2 linked regions of the Schizosaccharomyces pombe genome follow. The gene in region 1 interacts genetically with each later gene. Each region holds a gene or a part of one and is shown on either strand. Other genes may lie near its edges. The genes, in order: pdc202 and phx1.

Region 1 (4,534 bases):
GTCTCTTCTCAGTATAAGACCAAGGCTGTGATTGAAGCCAGCACATTAACTGGTGCTATGCTAGTAGCCCTCGGTAATGTATTTACTGGTGCATTTGTTCAAGGAGAAGAGTTGTGGAAGAATCTTGAAACTGCTTCCCATGATGCTGGAGACCTTTTCTGGCGTATGCCATTTCACGAGGCTTACCTCAAGCAACTTACAAGTTCTTCAAATGCTGATTTGTGCAATGTTAGTCGTGCCGGTGGTGGTTGTTGTACAGCGGCTGCCTTTATTAAATGCTTCTTAGCCCAGAAAGATTTGTCTTTTGCTCATTTAGACATTGCCGGAGTTATGGATAAGCAGCTTAATTCTTGGGATTGTGACGGCATGAGCGGACGCCCAGTTCGCACTATTATTGAAGTCGCTCGCAAGTATTAGCTTATTTATTTTCTTGGCTATATGTGCAAACTTTATGTTTTTACTTATTTACTGTTGATTACACCAATCTCATTTTTCAATGTCCTTGTTAAGTGTATGTCAATGATATGTAGCTATCATGATTTTATTCTTTTTAATACTGTTTTCCACAACCGTTCATAACGGTTGTAAGGACCGAGTCTTTCTGATGGCTCTGGTTCTGTTTCCTTTAAAAATAAAATCAATTCGGTTGAAGTCTCATGTTGTTAAATTTCACTTTCGAAGTAGCGAATTTTTTTTTTCTATTTTGAATATAGATTTGTTTATTAAATGTAGTAATCAATTTACTCATGACTATTACTTTTGTCAAACAAAATCATAATACAAAACTAAATCTTTAAAGGTAGAATATTCTCCTGTGCGAGTTTACAATACTTTGGGATATGATCAAATCAATTTTTTTTAGATATCTGTTGAAATTTTTATAACAGTAATTTTGTATTATTTATCATACTATTTATTAGCGTTACCTGCCCTCTTAAATGTACACATCATGTGGGGGTGGGGGAACCAGTGCTGGAGATCACTTCTTGCTATACCGTTTGGCTCATGGCAACTATTGAGGATAGCAAGGAGCGTTACAATTTGCAAATCAATATGATAAACAGAAAAACAACAAGTTGAAGCTTAACACTGTAGCAATATAACAATGAAAAAAATAATCAGAATTAAAGCAAGAAGCCTATAAATGGTCCATCAATTGTGAAATCGATATTGCTAGATGTCAGGCAAATCGTGAACTCGGTTGAAAAATGTCGTTAATATTCATGTGAAATCATAATTACAGCAATATGTTCAAAGACTTTTGGATACTTTATAATAATGAGGATTCTATTTTTGAGTGGTCACATGGTCTCGTAACCATGAGGTACGCCTTACTTTTACGGACGAAACAATATTTCACATTCAGCTCTCAATGTTAAGTATCCAAACAAACATGGTACAAACCAATAAAGCATGTAAATTAATAAGCTTGAAATAAGGAATAGTCATTAAATTCAGTTTAGACATAATGTAAAAGGTATCAATTTTGTCTTTGGTATAGATACAATTAAGAATTTCGAGACGGAACGTTCGGTGATGTAGAGTTTTCATAATAATTTCTGCAGTTGCTTACACTAACCGAAGAATCGTCCAGTATAAACTGCTGACGATGCCTTAAATCAATAATTGCAAATTGCATAGTTGACGTTTTCCCGGGTGGCACATAGTGAGATTTGAGTCGAATAATGAAATAGCCTCTGACGAGTGGTTTCGTACCAAGAGTTTCAAAAAGAATAATCCACATTAACTCAATGTATCATTGATGACGGAATGTTGCTTATATAGCCAGAGTAACCCTGCTCTGAAGCATCTAAGGTTATATCTTTTTAACTTTTAGCTAGCAAACTCACTTGTTCCTTTAAGTTCAGAAAGTATCTGCTGGTTATTCAACAGATAATTATCTTGCGAAAAAGGAATACACACTCAGCATTGTAATTTGTTGAGTATATTTCACAAGCACATTAAATTGCATTATCAAACATGAGTGGGGATATTTTAGTCGGTGAATATCTATTCAAAAGGCTTGAACAATTAGGGGTCAAGTCCATTCTTGGTGTTCCAGGAGATTTCAATTTAGCTCTACTTGACTTAATTGAGAAAGTTGGAGATGAGAAATTTCGTTGGGTTGGCAATACCAATGAGTTGAATGGTGCTTATGCCGCTGATGGTTATGCTCGTGTTAATGGTCTTTCAGCCATTGTTACAACGTTCGGCGTGGGAGAGCTTTCCGCTATTAATGGAGTGGCAGGTTCTTATGCGGAGCATGTCCCAGTAGTTCATATTGTTGGAATGCCTTCCACAAAGGTGCAAGATACTGGAGCTTTGCTTCATCATACTTTAGGAGATGGAGACTTTCGCACTTTCATGGATATGTTTAAGAAAGTTTCTGCCTACAGTATAATGATCGATAACGGAAACGATGCAGCTGAAAAGATCGATGAAGCCTTGTCGATTTGTTATAAAAAGGCTAGGCCTGTTTACATTGGTATTCCTTCTGATGCTGGCTACTTCAAAGCATCTTCATCAAATCTTGGGAAAAGACTAAAGCTCGAGGAGGATACTAACGATCCAGCAGTTGAGCAAGAAGTCATCAATCATATCTCGGAAATGGTTGTCAATGCAAAGAAACCAGTGATTTTAATTGACGCTTGTGCTGTAAGACATCGTGTCGTTCCAGAAGTACATGAGCTGATTAAATTGACCCATTTCCCTACATATGTAACTCCCATGGGTAAATCTGCAATTGACGAAACTTCGCAATTTTTTGACGGCGTTTATGTTGGTTCAATTTCAGATCCTGAAGTTAAAGACAGAATTGAATCCACTGATCTGTTGCTATCCATCGGTGCTCTCAAATCAGACTTTAACACGGGTTCCTTCTCTTACCACCTCAGCCAAAAGAATGCCGTTGAGTTTCATTCAGACCACATGCGCATTCGATATGCTCTTTATCCAAATGTAGCCATGAAGTATATTCTTCGCAAACTGTTGAAAGTACTTGATGCTTCTATGTGTCATTCCAAGGCTGCTCCTACCATTGGCTACAACATCAAGCCTAAGCATGCGGAAGGATATTCTTCCAACGAGATTACTCATTGCTGGTTTTGGCCTAAATTTAGTGAATTTTTGAAGCCCCGAGATGTTTTGATCACCGAGACTGGAACTGCAAACTTTGGTGTCCTTGATTGCAGGTTTCCAAAGGATGTAACAGCCATTTCCCAGGTATTATGGGGATCTATTGGATACTCCGTTGGTGCAATGTTTGGTGCTGTTTTGGCCGTCCACGATTCTAAAGAGCCCGATCGTCGTACCATTCTTGTAGTAGGTGATGGATCCTTACAACTGACGATTACAGAGATTTCAACCTGCATTCGCCATAACCTCAAACCAATTATTTTCATAATTAACAACGACGGTTACACCATTGAGCGTTTAATTCATGGTTTGCATGCTAGCTATAACGAAATTAACACTAAATGGGGCTACCAACAGATTCCCAAGTTTTTCGGAGCTGCTGAAAACCACTTCCGCACTTACTGTGTTAAAACTCCTACTGACGTTGAAAAGTTGTTTAGCGACAAGGAGTTTGCAAATGCAGATGTCATTCAAGTAGTTGAGCTTGTAATGCCTATGTTGGATGCACCTCGTGTCCTAGTTGAGCAAGCCAAGTTGACGTCTAAGATCAATAAGCAATGAGCAAGCTATTGAGAGTGGAATTGGCAAACAAAGTTTCCTTTGATTTATATGTTTTTTATGATAAGCCCATTCAATTCATATAGTCTTTTAGTATAATGATTAGTTATTAAATTTATGTTTAAAGCAACTTTTTAGTTTAAAATTTTTCAAGTCAAGTTAGGGTGTACGTAAACAAACAATACCTTGGAAGCAATGAATGAAAAGGTAGAGTTAATCCAAACAATGTGGAAACCAGTTTCCTTGCATCTACTTACTAGTTTCGCAGAAAAATTGCTAAACTGCTTAAAAGCCAACTTTAACATTCTTATTTCTTACATAGGAGCTACCGTTCCATTCACATTGTGATATGCTAAGAATTTATTAGTTTTACAAAAATTGGGTGATTCTACTATTTAATACAGTGGTTTTGTAACGTAATGAAATTATAACGCTCGTTTATTACGATTTCCTAGGTAATGTAGCGGGTAAAGGCAATTGACTGATATTATGTATCACTCTATCACAGCAACGGACGAACGGTTTGCGTTGTTGTTTATAAATGGTTCTGCAACGCAGCTTCTGACTTTGACACTCTACACCACACCATACTTCAGCGCTCTATTCTTTCGCATAGGAAGGTAAGCTGCATTTCGTGGCGTTTGGTACCTTGAAAAAATATATTTTGGTTAATATTCGTTGGCTTTTTCTTTTAATTCTTGCTACTAATTCCAAGAATTGTGTAAGTATAGGAAGAGGCTGTGTTGATCGGTTAGTTTCGTAATTTCGGCATACTAGTGATTCCTAAAATACCGACTACTAATAATTATAAAGCTTAGATCACTTCTTTGGCTAAAGTAAT
Region 2 (7,487 bases), 1.9 Mb from region 1:
ACATATTGTTCTTCATTATTCGGTAAACAGTGGAAGAAGAAGGGCTGGGCTGGCTTACTTGTTCTTGTTAGTTGATCGATTGGTCGCAATGTTCAATCGATATATGGAAGGCGTTTCTTTCACTTCTTTTTCTCTTTTTTGGCTTTCTTATTGTTCGGAGAATTTCCGTATCTTAGAGTGTTTCAGTATAATCAATCATCTATCTAATCTGGTGTGTGCTGCTTTAGCTTCAGCTTATAGGCATCAGCAAAAAACAACATCACCTTCAAAGTAGGCGCCCGAAATCATTGTTCATATTTTTGTCCTATACTTTTGTACTAACTGATAAAAATTATTTTATAGATATTAAAAGCAAATCTTATATATTTGTCACCTCCAAACAATTTTTTTATTGATATTCTCCATTCATGAAACATAAATTCATTCTTATAATAAAACAAAATAAATTTTAAGAAAATGAAAAAAATATATATTACGAGCTTAGTCTAAATACATTCTAATATACATCTTTAAAATAAATTTTCTAATATTATATCTTAACAATTATTACTTTGGTTCATTCAATTCTTTGCTCATCTCAAAAAATTATCTACTAGTGAAATGTTTATTTACACAGAAAATGACTATATATGGCATGCACCTCTTAAAAAAAAGGCGGACAGCTTCGTTGATGGATTATGTTTCAAAGAATCTAATTCTACTAAATTAACTCATAATGCTTTCAAAATTATTATAGTTTATGTGCAAAAACTGTGATGCTGAAACGTTCCCGCTGGAAAGGAGAAATAACGAAAATAATAATCGTCCTAAATGTCAAATTAATAAAAAAAAAAACATGAAAATAAAGTAATAATATACATGAGGAAAAAGAAATTATTCATAACTTAAAAAGAGAAATAAATGGTAAATAAAAAAGTTTAAAGTCGCCAAAAAAATATGTGTCGGCTAAACATGCAAAAACTCAATAATCCAACTCACGCTCGTGGGTACGATACTGTTCAAACTCCATTACATTTTTTCAGTGGAATTTGGATTCGATCATTGACGGAGTTTCTTCAAATGAAATGCTAGGATCATTAAGTATTGCATACACGATACAACAATATGTAATACCTCCTATCGCTTTGGAACATAAAATAAAATAAAATTAAAGAAGTAAAAAAAACATAAACCATACATAATCGTATATGAAGTGCCTTGTAGAGGTCTTTTATTTTTTTTTTCGCATCAAAGTTCTTCCCAGACAATAATACATGGAAGCACAATTTTTTTCCATGGAATTGTATTTTTATCACCAAATTAAACATTATTCAAGAATACCTTGTATAATATAGATCAAAAATTAATCCTTTAAACCTTTTAGAGATATTGATGAATTTATAAAAACGTAAGCGGTCATAAAAATACAAACGAGGCATGTAATTTTCAAGAGTTAAACATCTTCTCGTTATCAAAAGAAAACGAAAATAAGCAAGCTTCAAGCGAGTTTCAATTGTACCGTTAATCATCATATCACAAAATTTACTGCATGTCCGGAGAAAATTGTTGACCACGAAGTTTCTGAAAATCTATACCAGCAGAAGGAGAGTAAACATCCTCAAATGGACTACCACTTTGGTCATGAGATAAGTAGCCCGAAGCTCCGGGTTGCGACGCATACACACCACCGCTACTACTTTTCTCAATTAAATTACTATCCTGTCCAGCAGATGATGCTAAAGGTATAGACGGTGTTTGAATGAATAACCGAGGAGCAACCCCAGCAGAAACAGATGAATTTGTACGGGCTTGCGCGTAAACAGACTCTTCAGATGGTACTTCAAATCCATACGACGGGACAGAGTTCTCAGTAGCAAGGGAGACATCTCCAAATGGTACCTGAGATAACTGTTGACTTGGTGCATTCATCGTGGTGGAAATTGAAGAAGAGCCAATGCCGCCAAATTCTCTGTTTTGAGTCGTAAATGGGACGGATACGTTTGTGTTCATTGACCATGAATTTGGAGTGAGACCACCAGTTTGTGAATTGGGAAACTGCGCTGCCATGTCTTTTATTTCCGTGTTAATACCTTGTGTATTTGGATGCATCACAGGTCGGCTTGGTGAATTGGATGCTCGAGGAAGTGAGCCGACATCGGATGGTGCCGATAAAGGATATGATATATTAGATGTGCCAAGCTCACCAAACTGCGTGTTATCAAGATTAAGCGCTAAATTATGGTGCGGATAAGCAGATGAAACTGAAGGCTCATAAGAGTTTAGTCTTGTAGAACTTCCTTCCAAAACATTAGCAGATTTCATTGCTTGAGTAATAGGAGACACAGATTGAGCATGCATAAGCCCTTCAGTATTAGTTTTCGGAGGTAAAAGATGCTGAGCCAAATCCTGTCTAGCAGGGGTTGAAGTGCTACGAAGCCTTTTAAACTGGCTTTTATTGCCATATTCAGAAGAAGTGTCATGAGACAATCCCTGGATAGGAGGGTTTCTTCCTTGATGATCAAATACAGAGCTATCAGGTTGTCTAGGAAGTTGATTAGCCCATTGAGGGTCCAAAAATTGGTGAGGATTAAGACCTTTTTGAAGGCGGATTACAGACCCCAACTCTGGCGATGCCCTTCGAACCCGATCGAGCATTTGAAACATGCTAGTAGCTCTTCCCATCAAAGAATGTAATAAAACTTCCGAAGCCTGATTACCCTCAGTAAAATCCGTACAATTTCCCTGTCCTTCGGAAGTGATCATGTGAAATACTGGTGGAACACTCAGCTGAATATCCATTTGAAGCCAATATTCATTTGGTGCCGGTTTATCTCGACTAGACGCAGTTGCACTCAACTCATTTAACAAGGGCTCCTCTACTCTAAAAACGTGTATCGACTCAATGACAAAAAAAGAATATTCAATACGATACTGAATCCCCTGGAATTGAATCAAATATGCAAATAATTTCTTTGGCGGAGAGTAGAAACACATTAAATCCTGAGGAGAGGCTCGTAGTCTTTTCCATAAACCAATTACTAGTAATGTACAAGAAAAGTAGTAAAATTCCGAATCATATGAGGTCGGTTCTGAAGAAGTACGCATGTGCCCTGTTGCCATATTAGGAGGACGAACAGGCCCTGATGCTTTGTATGATGAAGGCTTGGAATGACCGAACATTCTGTAACCCCCAGAACTAGGGCTCACTTCTCTAGGATAGGAGTAAAGATCTGACTCTGGTTGAGGCATACGGATGCCTGTAAGTGGAGTAGCATACGAAGAGGGTGGAGATTCTACGTCGAAAGCTTGATTTGATACCGACATAGCATTTGGGATTGCGGAATAAGAAGAGGCAGAGTATTTCCTTTGACTTGAGACAGGAACGGCATTTGGACTTAGACTATTGTAGTATGTACTAGAAAGAGACTGACGGATCGGAATGTCTGACTCTGCTATGCATGGCTCCATGGAAGATTGCATAGGTCCACTTTTCATATAAAAGTTTCCTGTTTTTCTAGTTGGTTTAGGCAATAACGTGTTCGCATACTGCCTATTAGCTGCTATTCCCCCAACGTAGGGACTGGTAGGTGAAGTAGACAATACTTCGTGCGCAAATGCTTGTGAAACTTTTTGATTTAAGGAATCCAATTCTCTCTGCTCACGAAGGATCCTTTGTCTTTCTTCTTCTTGACGTCTTGAAATGAGCTTTGATTTTGCTCTTCTGTTTTGAAACCAAATAGTTACGCTACGTTCCGGAATATTCAACTCGCGTCCAATTTTTTCCCTTATAGCTGGAGGTGGATTAGTATCTTTGGAGAATTCCCGAAGCAAATAAGCAAGTTGATCTGCAGTAAGGCGCTGTTTTTTGCTCTTTGGCGCAGAAGTAGATCCGCCGCTCTCAGGAGTACCACTTTCGTGAGCGACATTCTCCTTAGCTTTCTCAACAGATGTAGCTTCAACAACTTCATTTTGCTTTGAATTAGCAGGTTCCGACTCAGATTTAACAATATTAGGTTGAACTGGCGATGGATTCGTCAATTTCGAACTATTCACATTATCAAATGAATTATTATCTGCAAAACTCGGTGCATCCGGTTTGGGTTTCTCCTGTTTCCAATCTACTTTGTTTTCGTCAAATTCAGGAGGAAAATAATTAGGATTGGTAGGATTTTGCTGTTCCCCTTGAAGATGCTGCTCATACGTTGAATGGGGTAATTGCATGTTATTATCAGATGGAAACTGACCGAGAAAAGAATCCATGTCATAGTTGCTCAAGGACAAATTCTCCGGGAGCATTGTAGGTCGCTTCTCAGAATAATTAATATTGTCATTAATTTGACCACCATTTTCTGGGTTCGAATAACTACGCATATTGTTCTTAGAAATAAAATGAAATGAAAATAAAATCCTTATGAGAAATAAAAATTTGCTTCAAAAAGTATGCCAAGAAATGCAAATTGAATGGTGACTTTGGAAGATTAATTAAAGAAAGCTCAGAGAAATAAAATGATGTAAAAAAAATTAAATTGAAAGAAATTCCGTGGAATCTCTGAGTACTTGAGGAGACGCAAAAAACGTGAACCTGGTACCCTCGAAATATGGGGCACTTATGAAACCCCAGCCGCTGAATTTATTGTAATTAAAAACTTATCCTATCCAAAAAAAAGTTTGACCAGAAGAAAACCCTAACGAAATAAATTTGATCCCTTCTTGGAGGGGACTTCTCTCTTTAGCTTTTGTAGCAGAGATTGTAGCTATGTTCAGATACATAAGCACAGTGGACAAGCAATACCCAAGCTTTAAAGTCTCCAAGTAGAAATAATTAGTACGCCTTCTAGATCTTGAAAGAAACTGATTGACGAAAACTAAGAGACACGACCCTTTGTAGACAGAGGCTATCGATCCCTGGATATCTCACAAATGTCAAAACAAATAAAAATTGACTAAATGAAGAGATGAGTTGTCAAATTTGCCTAAAAATTAAATAATAAAAGTTTGCTAATTAAATGATAAAAAATATTGCAAAATTAACAATATAATTATTCCCTTCTCTTTCCCCAATTTTTCTTTCCCTTTTTTGTTATTAAAAAAATAAATAAACCAAATAATTAAAGATCCGAATGTAATTGAGATATTCGTTAACGTTCACTGCTAATAGATCGTTGCTGATTGCTCCTCTAAATCTAATGCAATAAAACACAACTTGAAATATCGTAAAGAGATGCAATTTCACTCCAATTTGATCCTTGCAAGAGCCTAATTAATTTCTGTCCTAATTTAATGAATTAAACAGAATGCTTATGGTTTCATAAATAATGTAGTTTTTATATGGTTGATGTGGTGGTTTTAATTCACATATCGCTCTTCACTTAACTAACCGAACAATTATATTACGAACTCTAACGTACTACCTTGCCTTAGAAACGACGCCCCCAATACATATTGGTAAATCCTTTAGTAAAGTGAATGAACGATCGATTGCTTCTAATGAGCAAGTCTTTGTTTTTAAGACCTATTATTTGAAGGATACTTTTGTCGAATGGGTACATCTAGGGTCATATGTAATTCATAGAATATATAGATAAATCATAATTTTGTCCTCAACTTTACTATTAACTATGTGGGGAATTGTGGAGAAACACTAATGTTACATTTACTGTCTAAACTGTAAGCGAGAATACTACCTATCTGAATATTGTAATATAAAAACATAGAAACATTACTAAATTTTTAAAAATTTGATCTGTACCACTTGTTTGATTTTATACTTTTTTTTCAATTTATTCTACGGGTAATGCTGTTTTAGGAGTGCGAACTTAAGTAATTGTAATTGGGAGTTTTACCATAGTTCAAAGATTTGTGACACTTTTTATTATTCAGTGCTAAAGACTTGAGTGGTCTTATTAGGCGAATATACAGAAAGAATTTTATTTTCTCTCCATAAACTGCTAACTTCAATCTGGAAGATTTGCTAATATACCAAAGATTAAAGCTTATGTTAATAGACTATGTCGCGACTCTAAAAAGCCAAAACCATATAAATTGAAAATACTACGACATCTTGCTCGTGCTGATAAATTGTTTTAAAACATTTTTTGCACTTGCATTGTAGTGTAAATAGGACATGATTCTCAAAATCATAGACTAAAGAAAACCGCTTTGTTGAATGTTCTTCTTCAGCATACACATAATTCTCTTAAGCCTTTGAAAAATTAGCCTAAGAAATTAAATCCACAGAAAACCTTTATTAGGTAAATAAGTACAGTATTATGTACAGGTTATTACATGACTACAACGCTATTTAAGGCTAGTAAATAGTAGAAGCAAAATTGAAATGATATTTATAGATAAAAAGAAATACACATATGTTTTGGTATAAAAAAGTTTAATCGCATGCGATGCTTGTATATCTATAGATCGCAACTCCGCTTAAGTTTACGGAGCCTTAATATAAATCAGAAAATCGTGAGTAGAACATTGCTTAAAAGCGAAGGTCCCATCCAATTTTAGGACCTAAAATAGGAAGTTGTTCAGCTACGCTTTGAACATCCTTGTCACCACGACCTGAAATGGTGATCACAATATCCTTATCTTTAGGTAACTTTTTAGCAAGCTCCATTCCACCATACACAGCATGAGAAGATTCCAAAGCGGGAATGATACCTTCAAGATGACATAGAGCGCGGAATCCTTCTAAACATTGAGCATCAGTGACAGCGATAAACTCTGCGCGATTGGTATATTTAAGTTCAGATAATTCGGGTCCCACACCTGGATAATCCAATCCAGCAGATATAGAGTGAGTATCTTGAATTTGTCCATCTTCGCGTTGCAGAACATATGTTCGAACTCCATGAAATACACCAACTTTTCCCATAGTCAATGTAGCACTATGTTTGGGGGTATCTACACCATCACCACCAGCTTCACAACCCAACATCATTACACTTTTATCGGCTTTGAAGGGAGAAAACATTCCAATCGAATTGGATCCACCACCAACACAAGCAACAACTGCATCAGGAAGTTTTTTACGCTTCTCTTGCATTTGCGCTTTCGTTTCCTCGCCAATGACACTTTGGAAAGTTTTAACAATGGTAGGGAATGGATGAGGGCCAATTGCAGATCCAATTAAATAATGAGTGGTGTCTATTTGTTCGACCCACGCCTTCAAAGCTTCGTTAACAGCATCACGAAGGGTCTGTGTACCTGAAGTAACCGGAACGACTTCAGCTCCCAAAAGACGGATGCGAAAAACGTTGAGTGCTTGACGACGACAATCTTCTGCACCCATGTAGATAGTACATTTCATACCAAATTTAGCGGCACAGATAGCAGTAGCAACTCCATGCTGACCAGCACCAGTTTCAGCAATGATACGGTTTTTTCCTAAACGTTTGGCAAGAAGAATTTGCCCAATACAGTTGTTAATTTTGTGTGAACCACCATGATTCAAGTCTTCACGCTTCAACCAAATATGGGCACCACCACAATACTCAGTTAAACGC

What was found.
Region 2: of pdc202 (region 1) and phx1, changing one suppresses a phenotype caused by changing the other (phenotypic suppression), as found in Schizosaccharomyces pombe (one study listed by BioGRID).

The regions. Positions count from the first base shown.
Region 1 is NC_003424.3:583,617-588,150, forward strand, and holds pdc202 (pyruvate decarboxylase), read left to right. Parts: upstream 1-1,980; coding exon 1,981-3,696; 3' UTR 3,697-3,879; downstream 3,880-4,534. Other genes in the region: ysp2 (peptidase family M17 cytoplasmic leucyl aminopeptidase yspII (LAP yspII)), read left to right, coding at 1-417.
Region 2 is NC_003424.3:2,451,198-2,458,684, forward strand, and holds phx1 (DNA-binding transcription factor, stationary phase-specific Phx1), read right to left. Parts: upstream 5,322-7,487; 5' UTR 4,351-5,321; coding exon 1,522-4,350; 3' UTR 596-1,521; downstream 1-595. Other genes in the region: trp2 (tryptophan synthase), read right to left, coding at 6,461-7,487. UniProt on the Schizosaccharomyces pombe protein: Trnascription factor that regulates the expression of the homocitrate synthase (HCS) lys4.